2 linked regions of the Saccharomyces cerevisiae S288C genome follow. Changing the gene in region 2 together with the main gene of any one other region gives a genetic interaction. Each region holds a gene or a part of one and is shown on either strand. Other genes may lie near its edges.

Evidence for each region.
Region 1: mutations in TMS1 (region 2) and NNF2 together harm fitness more than expected from each alone (negative genetic interaction), as found in Saccharomyces cerevisiae (2 studies listed by BioGRID).

Annotation. Positions count from the first base shown.
Region 1 is NC_001139.9:655,193-660,270, reverse strand, and holds NNF2 (Nnf2p), read right to left. Parts: upstream 3,312-5,078; coding exon 501-3,311; downstream 1-500. Other genes in the region: CTT1 (catalase T), read right to left, coding at 3,949-5,078.
Region 2 is NC_001136.10:664,849-668,584, forward strand, and holds TMS1 (Tms1p), read right to left. Parts: upstream 1,923-3,736; coding exon 501-1,922; downstream 1-500. Other genes in the region: SPO71 (Spo71p), read right to left, coding at 1-62; ARP10 (Arp10p), read left to right, coding at 2,156-3,010.

The DNA of each region.
Region 1 (5,078 bases), on a different chromosome or scaffold from region 2:
TCGTAGCTTGTAATGTATTTGAATTGGAACCATCTAATTGTTATCTGCCATTTTAGTATTTTGGACAAGCTCCAAATATGTGGTCCTAAGTTCATATCGAGGATACAGATTATTTGGGCCGTATCTTTGATGTCATGGAGAGTAGTGTGGCCTTCCAAGTCCTGGGGCAGCTATTAATTAGGGAATGTTTTGATCAACAACTTAGTGTTAATAGTAGACACAACGATGTGAACTGTTCAATACATCAGCAAACATTCTTAGTTTTTCTCATATTTTATGTTTACTTATGTTAACCTGCATTATTTCCATAAATAACAAAAGGCAAAAAAGTAACAAATGAAGTTATTAGGAAACAATAAAAAAACAATATCGAGAAAAAAACGACTGACTACATTTAAAGTAGAACGTCCAAGTAATAAATACATGTATATATTCAATAGAAGTAAATTTTAGGATGCTACAAAACGAATTCTTATCTATCTTTGTTTTCTAATCTTCCATCAGTAACTATTACCAATTAGACTATGTATATTTTCATTCTCATTTTCTAATCTGTTGATATCTTGCTCTAACCCCTTTATAGTCAATTCAAATTTATTGGCTTCGCGTATCCTGTACTCCTTTCTTCTAAATCTATCCTTTTCTCTTTTACTCAAAAATTGAGTACTGAACTTTTCTATCTCTTCTGCGTTCTGATCGACCTCCTTTTGTAACTTCTCGTTTCTCGCGTTCAATTTGTCCAGTTTAGAGCCTAGTTGAACTAATTCTTGATTGACCTTTTGGAACCTCCCTTCTGAGTTTTTCAGGTCTTTCGATAAGCTTTCTTCTAACTTACTGAACTCTAATTGATTTTTCAAGTGTAGATCTTTCTTTTTCAAGTATTCCTCTTCTAATTCAAGCTCTTTTTCAGTGAGAGTTTTCAATTGCATCTCTAACTTATTTACCGCAGTCTCACTTTGCTGTAGGGCAACCTTCAAATTTTCGACTTTTAAAGTGCTCTTTTCGTCATGTGTTGCGTTCTGTGAAATCCTGCCTTTAAAATAATCAATTTCTTGTCTCAAAAGACTTAACTTCTTGCTGAATTCCTTTTTTGTCTTTTTCAATTTTGTCCTTTCATCGGACAAATTTGCGTTTGTAGTTAGCACGGAATGCTTCAGAGTTAGCAACGGAGATAAGAATTTCCTATGGTAGTATGAAGGGAAGCTGAAATCAAGGTTTTCAAATTTTCCGGCAATCGCATTGTTATTCCCACAAGTCCTTACAATTAAATCAGAAACCAAATAATCATCTCGGTGATTTAGTCTGTTGATGAATTGAATATCATAAGAACAAGAAGGGACTAATCCGTTAACGACAACGTATTCTTCGCCTACATGCTCTAAAATTAAAGCGCAAGAAACTTCTGACCAGATAACACCGTTTACTAAAACAATGAGTTCGCCATCATGTAAATTTTCAATATGGAATGTAATAGAGTTTGTGCTAATATCAATAATGCAAACTTTGTAGTCATTATCATTTCTATTGAAAATATTTTCATTGGTGGAAACTAAATTTAAAAGATTGTAGTCATCAGATGTTGTCTTTGCAATCAGGGCCATAGTATTTGAAGGTTCGAAATTGTTAAACACGCTCTTCTTAAACTTTCCGGCATGGGTGAAACTAATTCTTGATGAAACTGAATGTGTATTAATCGTGTCCAAATCTTTGTCATGTTTTTCCTGATTACTGACGTATGAAGTATTCGAATTTGTTGGTGTTAGTGAATTTTCAGAGGTTTCTTGTAAGTATTTTTTTTCAAAATTCGTTGTTTTTAATGTAACTACCATAGACCAAAGAGGTGCAATCAAGTGTTGATTCTTTCTTCTGAATAGAAGACGGATAAAATTTTCCAAGTTTGATGTAACAGATATGTCTGAAGATAATTTGCTAGAAGAAAACATGTTCCCAAAATCAACATTCAGTTCAAACAGTTGGTTAGTATACTTGTCATTGGAAGGGGAAAAGAAATCAGAATCCTTTTTCGAATTTCCATTCGAGGAATCAGATAGAGAGATTTCATTTGACAAACTAGTGTTATCACCAGAAAAGTTGAACGTTGTAGGAGAGGTTGTTGTACTGGTAGTAGTAGTAACGGCTTGAGAATTGCTTCCTTCAGCAGAGATTACCGATGGCTGATATGACTTATATTCCTTGACCATAGAAGTGAAATAGGGAAAACTAGAAGTAGCATCAGTAGGATAAGAGGCGGCAGGGTTCAAAATATTACTGTGTGATGATAGGGGAACTGGCGAGTTATTTTGTTGGGATGGATGGATAGTTTGATTGCTGCTGCTAAGTCCACCTGGATCGTTCGGTATCATAGGACTTTGGTCCTCTAAAGTGTTCGAATCGGCAGAAACGGAAGAAGAAGAAGAAATTCTCATCTTTTGCAGACCTTGAACACGGGCTACATCTGGTTTAGTTGAATTGAAACCCTTTTTCAATGGCTTGTTTTCCGCTGTTTGTCTATGAGGGTGTAATAAACTTGAAGCAAATGAGAAAAAAAGGATGTGAAAGGATAGATAATAAATCATACTGTCTGAATGTTTGCCAAGCATCTTGAAAGGCATTGGCAAAAATAGAGAGAAAAGCTTTTTGAAAAACTGTGAATACTTGCGAAAAACCGTGAATAATTTAATTGATTGGCCGGTTCCTCGTAAAGACATATCAAATAACTGTATAATGTCAAAGAAGTGTGACACTCTTTGAAAAGTGTTAGTTGACACAGCATACAATACTGAGCATGAAGTTGCATAGCTTAAGCAATCGCTTGGATCATTGATCAAAAATGAGGCAATAATAGAAATTGCCAGATTTTTTATTGGCTTAACAAAATAATCGCCACCGTAAATCTTTAGTAACATTGCAAATAAAATTTCACAAATTAATACGGGGATCGGAATGACGAAGCTATTTTTTGAATTGCCAAAAAATCGTGAATTAGATTTTCGGTTTGAACTACCATTGGTCACTTTGGAAGTACTTATATCTATGTGCGCCACTTCACCGATATGGCGGGAAGGTTTTTTCGATAGGAAAAGTATAATAAAACAATTTGCCAGAAAATCTTTGCATTTGGTAGCAACAATAAAGGAAACCAATAAACATAGGGAAGTGAAGTGGTTAAAACTCAAAAAAACCAGGAACAATGCAAGCGTATCTTTAAACCTATGTTTTTTGGCAAATTCGGTGGGCTGTTCACTCCTTTTAGTGTTCATTAATGACTGTAGATGTGATACTTTCTTCTGATTAGTAAATTGTTCCTCCATGAAAATTGTGCATGGATCCTTTTATGTAACGGAGATAGGTGGAATCTTAAAAAATATTGGGGTGTATATGAATAAAAGTTATTCAGAGTGATTACCTAAAGAGATGGTACGAAAAATGTGGAGATAGAAAACAAAAAACTTTGGTAAGATATTATTATAACAGAAAGAATTTAAAGTTTTCTCTGCTGGTACTCTGTATAATCCTCTTAGTCCTAATAAAATTTGTTTATTCCTCTTTTAATAGAAACTAACGAGTTGTGAAAACCTAGTTATGTTACTTGTTATATTACACCTTCAAGAGGTTTAGGAATTCAACGTTATAAACACACAACTGCATAAGTTAGGCTACTTTTTTTTTTCAGATTGTCCGTATAATGCGATAATCGTTGAGTTCATGCCGATCTAAGTACCGAATTAGAAAAAAATGTGTCAAAAGTAGGCAGCCAATCTGTTTTGCTGCCATATTTTTCCTAACAGGATTTGCTATGTATGAAGTACGATAAGTATGAAATATTAGTGCTTGTACATACGACCAATTTGTAATAACTAGTGATGTAGAGAATAAACTTAAAGAAAACTTATGAATAAATAATTATGGAGATATAATTACGAATAATTATGAATAAATAGTGCTGCCTTAATTGGCACTTGCAATGGACCAAGTCTTGGCATAACCTTCAAGGTCAACAGGTTCCCAAGGAACTCCCAAGCATTCTGCAATGACTTTACCCAAATCTTCGTTTAGCAAACCAAAGTATTGCGTAACTCTCTTTTTGACTTTAGGATCTTTGATCTTACAAGCGTGGCAAACAACGTTATGAACGAATAATTTCTTCTGTTCATCGTTGTATACCTTTTCATATAGAGCTCTTGGCTGTTCGAAGTCTAGTGGACTAATACCATAAACGTAGTAATATTGATTAATTTTGGCATCAACAATATGCTCGTTTCTGATTTGGTCTTGTTCCTGTTTTCTCACAGAAACTTCTGTTACTTCGTCAAGAACTATCCCTTTGAACTTATCAGATACTTCGTCGTTGTCTTCATTTTTGAATTTCAGAGTTTGATTTGGTAAACTGGAAATATAATTTGGCTCAGGACCGAAATTGTAGTAACTCATTGGGCCGTCCCTTTGGAAGTTCACTGCTTTAAATGGACACTGTTCGGCAGTGTATTGGGAATCACCTTTGGAGTATGGACATCCCAAGTTTCTTGGTCTGTTGACGGGCAATTGCTGATAGTTGGCTCCCAATCTATGACGTTGAGTGTCTGGATAGGAGAAAAGTCTGGCTTGTAGAACGGAATCATTAGAAGGCTTAATACCTGGGATACAAGTGTTCGTTGGACTGAATGCAACTTGTTCAATTTCTTGGAAATAATTGTCAACATTCTCCGTTAGGGTGATGGTACCAAATTTTCTCAAAGGGAATTCCTTGTGTGGCCATATTTTCGTTAGGTCATTTACCGAATACCTGAACTTAGTTGCTTGTTCGGGTGTCATTGTTTGCACATAACAGTTAAATTTTGGCTTTTCGCCATTTTGCAATTGAGTGAACAGCTTTGCCTGATTATAATCAGGGTGGGAGCCTGACAGTTCAGCAGCCTTATCTCCAGTCAAGGTTTCAAAACCAGTATCCGACAAGACGTGGAATTGCACATATGTGTCCTTACCTTCTTTGTTGACCATGATGAAGGAATGACCAGAGTACGCGTTCATACTAGCCCACGAAGCAGGAGTACCTCTATCACCAAACATGTAAGTTATTT
Region 2 (3,736 bases):
AAGCTAGTCACTCTCTGCGCGTACTTAACATCGTCTTCAACAACATTAACGATAGAATCCATATTTCGAAATGTTTCGAAGACAAATCCCTTTCTTTTACAATCACTGTATGCTGACTTTTGTTATTGATATTTTCACCAGACATTTCTTTAGCCACAATGATTTTGTTTTACCATATCTTTGAAGCACGGCGCAAACTCCGAATATCGCATAAAGAAGGTTGAGAGAATGTTTTCTACCTTTAAAAGAAGAAAAGAGATCCTTCGAAAACGGTCGATCGATAATAACTGTAATTGGCATTTCAAATAAATAGAGGATAGTTAAAATAATCCTCGAGAAGCGATATCTCAATTAGATAATTAAGATCCATTTTTTTTTGAGGGAGGTTTACTCATCTTCTTGAAACTAGTGCATGAGTATAGTAAAATTAGTGTTTCTACTGGGGGCTACTTAAAAAAAAGTTACATACATTATAAGAAAATCTTTTTGTGTTAGTCTATTTAATAGTAATTCTCGTAATCAAATCTATCGGGCATAATCGCTGGGGCTACCACTGTCCAACCGTAAAGGGCATAACATATCCATGCACTAACTATTTTTACCCAAGAATAAAAATATGTTCTTCCTACGGGTATAAAATCACCTACATCATCCTGGGTAACGTTTATTGTTAGTAAAATTGCAATCCACTGGGTTGCCAGAAAGAATATAACGTGGAACAGAGTGTAATTGTACTTGGTTCCAGTCCTTTCATCATCATTTTGGTTATCCATTGCGCCTGTAGGAGATGATGTCCCTAACCAAGCGGTATCATATAAGGCACTTTCCGGTAAAGATCCTTCTTCTACAGCTTGTTTAATAGCTTCATACCTCAACTGATTTCTTGTCTGTCCACCTAGTCCTTCGTACTCGATATCATTCCCGAGATATATAGCACCATTAGTATTGGTGCCTTGAAAAGCACTATTAGCAGCGGCTCTAGTTGTGGTGTAAGCAATCGCAATAAAAGTAAATAAAGAGCCCAAAATGATACTAAACTTACGGGTTCCACTAGATCTAACCAACGGATTACACATTTTGTCATCCGGTTCGGAAGACATGGCACTCATTGTCAAATAAGTACAGTAAACAGAAACCATACTACTTTGGGCCAGCCCACTTTTAGGGTTGGCCTCTTGGATCTTAGGATTCACCGATAAGACAAGCGTTATAACAGTTAATATTAAATTGACTGTTACCGCTGTTTGATTCATGTTACATTGTTGATGACAAAACATAACATACATAACAACAGTCATGATAATCGATGCGGTATACATTGAAGTTGTCCCTAAAACCAAAAATCGTTGCCAGAATGAGGAATCTTCATCTTCTGACTCAACGTGACTAATACACGTTTCAGCCCACTCATGAGCGAAGTCTACTAATAATATAAGCCCAACCAGGATGAAAATTGCTCCACTAGGGACTGACACCCACTTGGAAAAGAAAATATAAAAGTCATTGGGGATGACAAATGACAAAACAATGAGACATAAATACAGTATAAATTTTAAACTCCACCACGAATTCTGTAATGCTGCTCTTACGTCATTAGTCGACTTTACGCCCGTTAGTACAAGCGCCAATATCAAATGTAAGCATCCCAATGCAAAATTCAACCTATGAACTGTAAAAAATCCACATTCCCCAGTCCCAGTACATGTCTTCCCTGGCCATAGGATTGATTTGTTCGCAGAATAGGACACCCATGATATCAATGAGTTAAGTAAAAGCCAAACGGCGTACAGAAGTCTTGTCCCTAAAGAAGAAGATCCTAGGGAAGATGCAGTCTTAGTCACCAAGTTTGAGCAGCAACCTCCAAAACAGGACGCCACGAATGAGCCCGCCATGCTAACTGGCAAAGAAATTACGGCACCCATGGTAGATTGTTGTACTTTGTGATGGGTATTTTGATATGAAGTAAATCTGTTGTTTGATTATAAACTTCGTTTTGGGGGCATAAAGACCTCAAAAACAGTTCTCTTTTTTGTTAGAATCTAATTGTCGGAACTTCTATTGTAGCCGAGAGACATAAACAAAAGAGGTACAAATACTACAATATTCGACACTGTGAAATGATAAAAAAAATCTACCCAGGAAACCCTATGAGGAAATGTCGAATACTATTGTGATAGTCTATTTGGGAGCTAACAGAATCGAAATTGGAAGAAGTGCTGATGCGTGTCCACAAGAAATTATCGCCTGGAAAACAGGTAGTATTAATGAAAAAAATAGGGAAGAATTGAAAAAAATATTTGAACATTACTTCCAAATTTGCAACATCTTGGGAAATCGAGAAGTACAAGTGTTGATACTAGAAGATATCTTCATTTCTGTAGTAGAGAAAAGAATTATTTGTAGCATCTTGTTTAAGGAATTTGACTGCGCTCACGTTTCGTTTGTCCCCAGGGCCATTGTGCACTGCTTATCCTGTAATACAAGGAATGCCATAGTTATAGATATAGGTACCAATTATACTACATGCGTACCTATTTTCGACCTTAGACCTTTGCAACAGTTCATAAAATACTCAAAACGAGGCAAAAGACAGGTTGAGTCAAGAATTCCTCTCCCGGGCAGTCTCTACATGCCAATATTTTTTGACGAAGAATACAACTCTAAAAATTGTGAAGTAGATGAAACCCCGGTAATAAATCTTGTCAAAAATATTGTAGAGTCACTTCCTATCGACTTGAGAAGGCCACTGAGAGAAAATATCATTATAGTAAACATTGAAGAGGCGTATGAAACAGTAATAAGGAATTTATTCAAGTTAAAAATGGATACGTCCAAAATCCAGTTTCCTAAAAATTACTGGCAGGCTGGTTCTGCATGCGCGAAAATACTTCTGCACTATAAGGGGAGCAACATTGTAGGAATAGAAAGAGATGAGTTTTATAACAATCCTCATATTGCTCCTGATTGGTTTGATTATTACTTCAGAACTGGAGTGAAGCGCTTACAATAGGCTTTATGTATATGTAGAAAACAAAAACAGGAAGTGTTCTCTTCACCAAACTGCGTCTTTCCACAACAATTAGCCTTATTGAGCTTTTGATGTAAAAGTTTATGATAGTAAAGAGCTATTTTTAACAATAGAGGAGAAAAAATAAAAATGGTCTCTAGCGGGATCGAACCGCTGATCCCCGCGTTATTAGCACGGTGCCTTAACCAACTGGGCCAAGAGACCAATTTGGATCGAAAGTGTTGTATCTCAAAATGAGATATGTCAGTATGACAATACGTCATCCTAAACGTTCATAAAACACATATGAAACAACCTTATAACAAAACGAACAACATGAGATAAAACACGGCCTTCCCTAGCTGAACTACCCAAACGTATAAATGCTTGAACAATTAGTTTAGATCCGAGATTCCGCGCTTCCACCACTTAGTATGATTCATATTTTATATAATATATAAGATAAGTAACATTCCGTGAATTAATCTGATAAACTGTTTTGACAACTGGTTACTTCCCTAAGACTGTTTATATTAGGATTGTCAAGACACTCCGGTATTACTCGAGCCCGTAATACAACAGAAAGTTAACCATTAATATTTCACCTAATTACACACTCTCCTAAAGAATTTGGATTTGATAACTATCATGTCATTTGAAAGAGTAACTCGTTTTCAGATTTATTATTGCCGGAATAAAAATAAATAAATATATCGAATAATATTCTTT